Linked DNA regions of Arabidopsis thaliana. The protein of the gene in region 2 binds, or shares a complex with, the protein of the main gene of each other region. Each region holds a gene or a part of one and is shown on either strand. Other genes may lie near its edges. The genes, in order: AT4G37280, HAM1 and AT3G24880.

Evidence for each region.
Region 1: HAM1 (region 2) and AT4G37280 share a complex: the UniProt entries of both Arabidopsis thaliana proteins name them as parts of the nuA4 histone acetyltransferase complex.
Region 3: HAM1 (region 2) and AT3G24880 share a complex: the UniProt entries of both Arabidopsis thaliana proteins name them as parts of the nuA4 histone acetyltransferase complex.

Annotation. Positions count from the first base shown.
Region 1 is NC_003075.7:17,547,770-17,551,523, forward strand, and holds the start of AT4G37280 (MRG family protein), read right to left. Parts: upstream 1,791-3,754; 5' UTR 1,594-1,790; coding exon 1,453-1,593; intron 861-1,452; coding exon 807-860; intron 698-806; coding exon 684-697; intron 594-683; coding exon 448-593; intron 345-447; coding exon 309-344; intron 174-308; coding exon 133-173; intron 1-132. Other genes in the region: AT4G37290 (uncharacterized protein), read right to left, coding at 2,160-2,414. UniProt on the Arabidopsis thaliana protein: Chromatin remodeling factor. Acts as a 'reader' protein by binding to H3K36me3 and H3K36me3 to control histone H4 acetylation. Increases the transcriptional levels of the flowering time genes FLC and FT.
Region 2 is NC_003076.8:25,828,908-25,832,661, forward strand, and holds the start of HAM1 (histone acetyltransferase of the MYST family 1), read right to left. Parts: upstream 1,763-3,754; 5' UTR 1,597-1,762; coding exon 1,290-1,596; intron 1,152-1,289; coding exon 1,063-1,151; intron 981-1,062; coding exon 921-980; intron 826-920; coding exon 616-825; intron 482-615; coding exon 413-481; intron 288-412; coding exon 126-287; intron 33-125; coding exon 1-32. Other genes in the region: C/VIF2 (cell wall / vacuolar inhibitor of fructosidase 2), read left to right, coding at 2,968-3,510. UniProt on the Arabidopsis thaliana protein: Histone acetyltransferase which may be involved in transcriptional activation. Acetylates 'Lys-5' of histone H4 (H4K5ac). Essential for gametophyte development. Involved in DNA repair after UV-B exposure.
Region 3 is NC_003074.8:9,093,859-9,097,612, reverse strand, and holds the start of AT3G24880 (Helicase/SANT-associated, DNA binding protein), read left to right. Parts: upstream 1-2,075; coding exon 2,076-2,215; intron 2,216-2,323; coding exon 2,324-2,378; intron 2,379-2,471; coding exon 2,472-2,569; intron 2,570-2,645; coding exon 2,646-3,754. UniProt on the Arabidopsis thaliana protein: Component of the NuA4 histone acetyltransferase complex which is involved in transcriptional activation of selected genes principally by acetylation of nucleosomal histone H4 and H2A.

The DNA.
Region 1 (3,754 bases), on a different chromosome or scaffold from region 2:
AAAATTGACCCTTTTCGTATGTGTGTATATGCATAACAACACATCAGCCATCTATTGTACTGTAAAATATAATCTTAACAAAGACCTAACAGGTATGAACCAAATACATCTCTAAGTTTTTGCAAGCCTGACCTCATTGCCTGACTCGTGCTTTCGTTTCTTCCCTTTTGCAGCTGCAACAGAAAATGTAATCATCTATACACCAGCTTAAATAATTTAAGTTGCACCCAGTCTACCAAATCATTTCCTTGGAAATTGTTGGGAGAACCCTGAACTACAAAGGGAGCGTAAATTAATATGTTGCCTACCATTGGTCTTGGTGTCATCTTTATCAGCCTTTGTGTCTGCAAGTGCAAGATCAGAAAGAAATAGTTAGTTTCTTAGCCTGGATGACCAAAATATGTATCATGTACTCTCAGCATGGTCAATGTGGAGGCAACAACTCACCTGCAGAGCTTCTAGTTTTTGTCTGAGCGGAACGGCCAGACTTGGTACCTTTTTCAACTCCTTGCTTTTTGTCTAGAGCTTTCTGTTTGACAAGATTCTCCTCGGTATGTTTCAACAATCTATCCGCACTAACCCATTCATCCCAACTGTTGGCAAGACAATCATGTCATGGGTCCCAATCTACTGATTTTGCTACATAAACCAGAATCGACATGAGAGCAGAGAGAGATACTCACTTTTTGTTCCAACCCTGCAGACAAAGATCGCTGTATCACTTATTACTGCAAACCAAAATGAAAATAGCTAGTACATGAAACAGGATAATGAAACTATAATAGCTCAGAAGAAGGAGGCCTCACAAGATAGTGCACAAAGTATTTCCACTCCTTTTTCCGAAGCTCGACCTTTTGAACCTGTAATGGAATGTCAATAATCTATCAGGTCTGCCCACACACTGAAAACACTATGCAATAACAGATTTTTTTCAAAACTATGAAGATTTAGCATAACAACGACACACATTTGATATGAATGAGACTCAATCCAGTGACCTATATAATATATGATTGAAAAAATAAACATGCAAGTAGATTAGCTTGCCCTATTTTCCGAGTAATTTATTGAATTCCTTGCTCCAACGGCAAGTGAATTATTCTTTTGCATCTATTACGACTAAGCATTTATGATCATTCCAATCTAAAAAGCTCTAATGCTACATGAATCCATTACCAAAAAAAGAAAACTCGAATCCAATCTCAATGGGTTCATCTTTCGGATCGTCGTAACTTGAAACCGAAATCTACCAAGAAACCCCTAAGCCAAATCTAGCAGAGAGATCTCAATTCAATGAAACCAGTTAATTCCGTAGTCGGATACAACCAAAACCCACGTGAAATACAAGAATTGCTAAATTAACACGAACAAGATAATCTCTAGAATTCAAATTATGCGAACATCTGACGATGCACAGAGAAAGAGAGAGAGAGAGAGAGGTTTTTTATTTGCCTTGGCTCCGTAGACGCGAGGACCATGGTAAGCGAGAACACGCTCGCCCTCCGAGAAGAGTCTGCCGTCGTTGGACGGTGAGGCGCCACCGCTCGCCGTATCTCCGTCACTCGCCGTCTCTTCCTTCGACGAGCTTCCCATTGTCACCGAAAGCGAGAGCGAGAGGCAAAGATCTTCACATCACAAGGCACCCCTTTAACCGTCTAGATAAATGAATCTACGACAACTGCTGAATGACTGAATCGTTGCGAATAGTTTTTCAATTGAGTCCCTTAACTTTCACAATAGTTCGATTAAATCTCTTAAACCTTTTAAATATACTCGTCGCCCATTTATAAAGCATTGTCTTTTTAAAAAAATTTATGCCTTTATTGGTCGTTGAGCAGTTGGACTCATATTTCACTTTGGACACTGATGTTTATTAACTATTATTACATTCAAATAAATATAAAAAAATTGATTAATACATTTTATTTGTATACTTTTCAAGTAACTTTATTTCACTAACAAAACAATAATCCTAAATATAGAAAAATGAGACAATAATTATTGTTTTTGCCATTCTTCTTCCTATGTATCGATCAGAAACATGAGACATGTATAATATTTTCCACTAATGAAACTGGAACAAAAAAATGAAATAATTTTCTCGACCTAGATGGGTATGGGCACTTTAACCGGCCCGGTTTGAACTAAAGATTGAAACATTAGTGGCCCGGTCCGCTTGGGCTTGGACCTGAGTGCTTAACAAATCGAAACGTATCCTTCCTGTCCACGACCTTATGACCCTCGCCTGGACTTGGACCTGAGTCTTTGATCGAACCAAGTGATAAGCCATCGAATAAACTAGCCACGAACTTCTCCTCGGTCTTTGTTAGACCAAGCGGACGACTCTCGACAAGAACCGAACCAATCAACATGAAGAACAGAATCGAACTCAGAACGTTTTTGTTCATCATCATGTTTAAGAACAATTTAACTCTGTTTATAAAAAATATGGTTTTCTTTCTCTTTGGCAGATAATGAATTTTGTTGTGAGTGTTTTGTGAGTTGAGAATGTGACTATATAGTAGTGTTCGTGGAGATGCAAAGTTTGAATTTTTATTCTTGACTAAGTTTGAATTGAAAAGAATGTGATCATTGAAATTAGTTAGTATGCTGCTTCCTGGGAAAATACCAACTTGTTTCTTGAGCATTCAATTTTGTGTGTATTTATTGAACACAAAATAGTGAAAGCCATCAATGAAGAAAAGGATAAGGAATTGAATATTAGAAATAAAGAATTTAATATCGTAGACCAAACATGAAGTTTCATTGTTTGGAGCAGACGGCAGCTAAATATTAAGGTAGATTTGTAGTTGTGTAGACCAAAAATAATGCTTGAATTTCAAACTCGCAACGTATATAAAGTCACACTCACATATATCGTTAGCCGGTTTAGATTTGGTTTTCGTAAGTATATTATGGTATATTGTTGGTTTCAGATTGAATTTGTTTACTTTATTTTACTTTACTAGAAAATGTACATCTCTAGCTTTGGTTTCGTTTCAACTTTCAGCCAAATTTTTTATATATAGAAAATAAATTTAAAATCAGATAACTTGAATTTTTTTTAAAAATTTGGTTAGGGTTTCTGGTTCGGTTAAACCAGCTGATTTAAGGAGTGACATAAGCTAAATTGACTATGAGTCGGATCTCATGTGTTTGTTTTATAATATTGTTAGATACACCAAACCTAATCATCAATGCTTCAAAAGTTCAAACACTTTGGTGTTATTTTTCTTGCACGACCAAAAATAGTTCCTTCTCACGTGATTTTTCTTGCAAAAAACATTGAACAACCAAACTTTATACTACTCAAAATTCAACATCCAAATTTTAGTTTTTGTTAGGTAGAAATAAGAAATCTATCCTATGAAAAGACAAAACCATTAATTTTTATTTCAACTCTTGCTGCTATATGACGTTGAATTATGATAATTTTTCCGTCTCAAGTTCATAAACGATTTTTCAAACAGAGTTGTGATGAAATTTATTTATTTTCTAAAAAAAAAGGAAGATTGATAGTTTTGAAGAATATATTATTGATGGTAGCCAAATAATTTACCGGAATAAAGTGTAATATCATCTCAAACTGTTCCTTTTTATAGCAAAATCGCTCCTTTTTATCCGCAGTTAGAGTATAAGACAAAGAAACCAAATTCCAGAGCATCAGGAAACTCTTTCCCATATTTTAAGGTGAAATCACTATTTTGAAATTATTAACTTAGTTTAATAACCAATTATTGAATAATACAAACAA
Region 2 (3,754 bases):
GCCAAGTTGTAAGCTTCTTCTGAGTGTTTTTCCTGTACCAACAGAAATTGCATTTTTTTCATCAGACAATCAAATTGAAACAGAACATGTATATAACAGACCCAAGAGCCAAAGTGTGCTGATACCTTTGAAAAGTATCCAACCATGTGGCATCCACGATCATCACATTCACAGAGAATATAGAACAGGAACAAATCAACGTCATAGTAAAGAGTTTTGTGGTCAAGAAATAACTTTGCCAGATAACAGAGGTTCTGTGCATAGACCTTATTCTTCTTGCCATCCACCTGTAAGATATTACAAATAAACTCCCAGGTCGTGAAAATTCAATTCTAAATACATTTATTAGCTTCCAAACAAGTATCGTAAGCCTAAAGCAAACAGTTTAAGGATGAAAACATCAATCTATTACCTCAAACATTGACAAAGTAGAGCTTCGATAGATTTCATCCCCAGGGGGGTGCTTCAAATCGCATTTCCTCTGCATAGATAAAAGACGATTGAGCAAAACTTAAGTAAAAAGAATGACCCATAAAAGGTATGTGTGAAACTAAAAATAACTGTAAAGACAAAACAATTAAAATGCTACAAATGATAAAAAAAACAGTTGCTCACCATATGTCTTTGAAGCTGCTCTTTGCGCTTCATAAAACTGAGGCAAAACTCACAGAAAAAGAGCTTCACGCAGTCATTGTATTCTGGAGGAAAAGGAGAGAAGTACCACGTCTCAATCTCATACTTCCCAAGCTCAATCGTAGCTATGTTCTTCACTTTCGTGAACTCCTCGTGTTCACGCAAACTGGCAGCATCCAGCTCTTCATGACCCTATACAAAATATCGAAAAACATCAGAATATATAGCATGCCACACAGTTCACTAAAACCACAACAAAGTTTAACTAACTTAACCAATCACTTTACCTCTACATGAGTCTCATCAATCTTCCGTTTCTGGTGTCGTGTCATCTTCAAGCTAGTCACCTATTACCACAAACAAACTTCTATGTTTCAGTGCAAACTACGGAGAGGAAAGCTCAAGACTTTGAAGAAAAATGGCTAATACCTTGTCTTCAACTTTTTCATCTAAAGCACACTCTACTGAATCAAGGTCAAGCTGTTCAAGCTTAATCCATTCATCCAATCTTCTATTAACTGCAGTTTCACAAGAGTTGTGATACTCAAAACAACTTGAATTGCAAAGCCCTCTAATTCAATTCTTCGAAATTTCAGCTCCAATCTATAAACCCTAGATTCACAAATTTCAGATAGAGAAAGGAGGAAACGACATACACTCTGTGTAATGAACGTAGTACTCGTAATCATTGTGACCACCATTATAATTCTTTCGGCGCTCGATAACCTTCACCGGATGGTATTTTCCGTCTCTCCATTGACACATCACGCGAGTACCAACCTCGAGCGGAAGCACCCCCATTCTTCTCTTCTTCGAAGCATCCGATTCTGAATTCGTGAGAGCGAGTATCGCACCAGAAGTATGATTCTGATTCGCATCTCCGCCGTTGGTTGCCGGATTATTATGGTTCGACGCCGGTGTGGCGATTATCATCGCCGTCTCTGTATCCGCAGACGATCCCATTTCTTTAGTCGGGTCGGAGATTTTTTCCGGGTGGATTCTTTTCTCATACGGATAAAGAACATCATTTGGAAGGAGTGTGGCCCAATAACAACTTTGAATGCTCAATTGGGCCTATCTTTATAATTGGCCTGTACTATATGTCTCTCTTACCGTCCTTTTTTTTTGGGTGCAAAAAATCTCTTACCGTCGTTAATACACGTTTTATAACTGTTGGCTTATGTTTAGTTTTATAATCGCCAGGTTACATTTAAAGAATGATTAGTAGGAGCAAACAATTTATAAAAACTAAAGAGATAATGAGAGATAAATAATAAGTGACAGAGTCAGTATTTTGTCGTGAATGGGAAACAGCCAAACAAGGCTTTATGATTCGTACTAATCACAAGATTCACAGATCAAAAAATCACAAAGTTCCAAGAAGCAAAGACGAAAAACACAACTCATCATCGTGTCCTTGAAGTTATGGTCATAGATTCGCACACCATGTTCCTCTAGATTAACCAAAATGATTTTTTATGAACAAAAAAGATTCACATGGTCACTTTACTGTATCTTGTATGTGAAATTTTACATCTCATTTTTCTTAAAGAATGTTTTACTTTTACATACTATCAATTTACTTTTATTTTTCGGTTATGAATTGAAGTGGATGACTTACTTACTTTTGAAATTCGAATGAAGAAAAATAGAATTGATTCCTATTTCAGTTGTTCACATGTAAACACGTTATATACTTATATGGCAACTTGACTAAAGGGAAAATTTAAATAAAATGATTTAATTTGGTGACATATATTCATCTTTCTAATTTTTGTAGCTACTACACACCGTGTATCCTTTTTCATAATAATGATGTGAAATTGTATAATTGTAAGAAAAAATGAGAAAAGAGTGACGAAATCTTTAAAACAGACAGAATTTTTTTGGTTGAGCAAACAAAACTTAGTTATCAAATTTTGGAAATAACGTGTTGAAGTGGCTGATTCTTTTACCTACAATGATTGATTCATCGACAAATATCTTGTTCGTATATCATCAATTCTAAATTCTTCAAAAATAAAGTAAAGATACTCAAATGTAATGAAATGACGAAGCTGGAAAAACGTATTTTAATTTAATTCATTATTTGACCAACAATTTGCATCATGTGAATTTAAATCTTGATAGGTCAATATTAGTATAAACTACCACACTACATGCGAAAATCATTCCTCATTTAGTGCAATTACAAATGATAAACGGAAACGTTATCATTTGTATTTATTTTGTAAAATATGTAATTCAAGAAACTGCTCAGAATATAAAGACAAGAATCCTCTTTCTTCCATCTCTATCTCTCCGTAAACAGTTGCTCAAAACCTTCTTCCTGAAATGGCTTCTTCTCTCATCTTCCTCCTCCTCGTTACCCTAACCTTTTCAGCATCAACCCTAATCTCAGCCAAATCCAACACAACAACAATAATCGAATCAACTTGCAAAACCACAAACTACTACAAATTCTGCGTCTCAGCTCTCAAATCCGACCCAAGAAGTCCCACAGCCGACACAAAAGGTCTCGCCTCCATTATGGTCGGCGTTGGTATGACAAACGCCACCTCCACCGCAAATTACATCGCTGGAAACCTATCCGCCACCGTAAAAGACACCGTTCTCAAAAAGGTCTTACAAGATTGCTCCGAGAAGTATGCTCTCGCCGCTGATTCTCTCCGGCTGACGATTCAAGATCTTGATGATGAAGCTTATGACTATGCCTCCATGCATGTGTTGGCGGCGCAGGATTATCCTAATGTTTGCCGGAATATTTTTAGGCGGGTTAAAGGGTTGGCTTATCCGGTGGAGATTCGCCGGCGTGAAGCTAGTCTGAGACGTATTTGTGGTGTTGTCTCCGGGATTCTTGATCGCCTTGTTGAATGATTTACATTTGCATTAACTACTTTCGTAAAATCTCTATTTAAATTATCGTATTTCATGAATTTAATATGACCGTTACTTTATTACTTTCGTCTTTGCTACAACTTTCAAATTGCCAAGAAGAACAATCTTTAGAGATCACCTGAATATTTGGAATTTAATATTTCTCAATCAATTGACTAATCATACCAAAAATTTTAAGTGACGAAGATTTGGGGGAAAAGGCTTCTTAAGAAATGGGAAGTAC
Region 3 (3,754 bases), on a different chromosome or scaffold from region 2:
AACTCATATATACGAAAAACCAGGAAAAAAGAGAACATGTTCGGTTTGAGAAGGGAGAAGGGAGACTCACTGAAGCCATTTTCGACATTTGTTGTAGGAAAATTGGTATCGGAGAAGGAAGCTTCTTCTGGCAACACTGTGCAGTGACGGCAGTAAAATTCCCTTTTTGCAGAAGGCAAAAAAAATTACTTCTTTTTTTCCAACTCGAAATTTTTACTTTGGCTGTAAATAGTAAAATTGTTTTTGAGGAATTTAAAATGGTTACATCATTTACATGTTGAGGTATACTTGAGGAATTTGTGAGGAATTGTTCATGTTTAAGAGTTTTATTTTTGTTTTTAAGTTGTTTCATAAATTAATAAAATTATTATTCTTAGAACTAAACAACGCAATAGGCTGCACAAAAAGAAAAGAATCTATTGTCATGTCCATGGAAAATATGAGAGAAGACTTCCACTAGAAGTTGTTAGTAAGGAAAATTCTAAACAGAAAAAAATAGTTTAAATTTTATTTTAAAAGTAAAAATTAGTAGTTTATTTTATTAGTTTATGCGTTTATATAATATTTCTATTTGATAAAAAATAAGATTAAATGTATTACATTCTTAATATTTTGTAATTTGTAACTTTTTACAAATTAAGTTACTATCTTATGTTTAATAAAATTATTAAATTATAGAAAATTTCAAGTTTAATATTTTTTCATATGTTTTATTTGGTATTAGTCTCTTAGATTTCTAAACCCGAACCCAAAAAACCCGGACTCGATCCGAATTGCCTATGGACAACGTGGGACAAATATAGTTTTACAAAACCAGCGACATGCCTGAGATTTGTAGAGATCCATGTCACACAACATGAAACTGTTATAACTTTATTACTACAAAAAGGCCCGAAACAAGACCAAGCAAACAAAAAGAAAGGCCTTGTTTGGTCAAAATCTCAGGCCCAGAATTCGGAGAGAGAGAGAGAGAGTCGCATACTGCGTCGAGGAGAGAGAGAGAGAGAGAAAGAACGAAAAAAAAACATCAACGAGAACTCAATTTTTTTTTTTATCTCCCGAGAGGGAAACCAAAATTGAAAACGAAAAATAGCTGAATTAGGAATCAATCTCGCAACAAGCAAGCAATTTCCATGGATTCCTTGTTTTGGGAGGAGCTTCTTCTCTTCTACTCTCTGAGAAATTGATTCTCGTCTTTCGATTTGAAAGAAAAGCTTATAAGAATTTGGAAGCCCTAGGAGAGAGAAACTAATTTTAGAATTTGGTGATTTTGCCCGAGTTTTGTGCCCTAGCTTTTTGCCTTCGTTCTGTTCTGTTCTACGTTCAATTTCCAGGTTTAACTCTCTTCTCCTTCACTCTTCTATTCAAACCCTAGAGTCCAGCTTTGCTGGAGCTTCTGTGATTTTGAACCCAGTGCTTCTTTTATCAGGAATGTGAATTGTTTGCTGAAATTGTGTCTCTGTAGTTCTTTGTTTCTACTCGTTTAGCTTGGAAATGCTCAATACTTGATTCAAGAGTTCGTAGGCACGCCATTAAGTAGCTTAAGCTGATCATTTTCTAACTTTGGTTCCTAGTAATCGTTGTTAGTGTTGGATTAAGCTTCTAGAACCTCTCTGCCTTGAGGCAACATTTCATTTCTTTGGTATCTTAGAGTTCTATTCTATCTCTGTTATGCTGGAATACGTAGTTGTGAGCTTCTCGGGGATCAGAATGGTATTGGCGTTAGATATATAGAATTCTCAGTCAAATACTAGATTCTGGGGAGTTATCTTCACTTTGATGTTCCTTTGGATAGTGGCTAGAGTATATGAGTGAATGTTGTTTTACTTTTGACATCTTCTGAGCAGTTACATCTTGAATCTGATAAGCTACTCTATTATATGATATCATATGGTACTGCTTTTTGCATCATGAGAACATACATTTTACCAGTGTTATTTGTAGGTCCAACATTTAGGTGTAACTGATTCTAACTTCTGCAGTATGATCATTCGGAATGCTGTAAATACTGAAAGCTCTTGATATAATTTTTCAGTTAAGCTAGAATTCGAATTGATGGGGTATTCGACGTGGTGATGCATGGAAGCGTTTCAGGATATCTTCTAGTAAATGCTGAGGTTGATTCCATGGGAGGAGTTATCGATAGTGGAGGTGGTATTGGTGTTAAAACATCTCCGCGCCGAACAGCTATTGAGAAGGCTCAAGCGGAGCTAAGGTATTTCAGATTGAGACATCTTGATCTTCTGCAGTGTGTTTAAATGCTCTATAATTTCTACAGCTTTCTATTATTTCCAATGTGTAACAAAGATGCTTATTTCAACAGGCAAGAGTATGATGTTCGTGAGGAAAGGAGGAGAGAATTGGAGTTTCTAGAGAAAGTATGAATACCTATTTCCCTGTTCTATAATTGTTTTGTGTGTGTGTGTGTAAGAACTTATGATGACAAGCCTTTACTCTTCTATCTGCTTCAGGGCGGTAATCCCTTGGATTTCAAGTTTGGTATTGCAACTTCACATAGCGTCCAATCTACATCACTCACAGATCAGCAAGCAGAGCATTTTGTAAACAGGTACATTCGTGTTTGGTGTAGTTCCCACATTAATTTCATGGAATAACTCATCATTATTTGCCCATAACCCCCACAGTGAAGTCAAAGATAGTTTTGCCCTGACTGCCTCACCACATGGTGACTCGGTGGAGAGTAGCGGTAGACCTGGAGTTCCTACAATTTCTGAACCCAATACAGCAGATAATCTTTTACTGTTTGATTCTGAAAACAAGTCAGTTGAAGGGGAAAGAAATTTGAGACATCCTAATAGGCAAAACAGAACTTCTGAGTCAGAACGATCTTCCAAAGCACACACCAACCAGAATACCAAAGAAACAGAAGATTCTGCCATCTTTCGCCCGTATGCTCGGAGGAACAGATCGAAGATAAGTCGGGATCCAGCACGGTCAAGCTCTACGGATTTAGTTCAGAATCGTGGTGGTCTTGCAACGTCTATATCTATTCGCAGAGGATCAGTGGAAGGAAAGGGTTGCATTCCCGAAGCAGCCAATCAAAAGGATATGCATACAACTTCTGTATCTTGTCCAGTATTTGCAAATTCAAATGGTAATATCGTTCCGAAAAATAGAGTTTCCAGCAATTCGCTGAATACTAAGGTGGATGGTGAACCTGTTGTACGAGAGAGTACTGCTGGATCCAAGACTAGTCTATTGAAAGATGAAGCCGACATTTCGTATAGTAAAAGCTCTGCATATTTGCCAGTTGGAGAGTCTGGCCTTGCTGGGGAGAAGGCACAACTAGTTTCGACTGGTGGTTCTCCCAAAGCTGCAACAATAGCTGGCCAGAAAAATAGTTCTACCCAACTGAATGGCCTAAGAGATTCCACGGTAGAGGAAGAAAGCTTAACAAATAGAGGAGCTACAGGGACTAATGGGTTAGAGTCAGAGTCTTCTCATGCGAACAACGTAGAAGTAAATGTAGATAATGAAAGAGATCTTTATAAAGTGGACAAACTTGACTCTGATGAAATCTCTATGCAGAAGACTTTGAGAGTAGAGGGGTTACTAGATCAAACAGTTGGTGAAATGACCAAAACTAAGATTGAAGATGAGACAGGTCAATCTACCACCATTATCAGTGAGTGCATTCCTGAATGTGAAATGCAGATGAAATCGGTTAAAATTGAAAATCAAAGTCACAGAAGTACAGCTGAGATGCAAACTAAGGAGAAAAGTTCCGAGACTG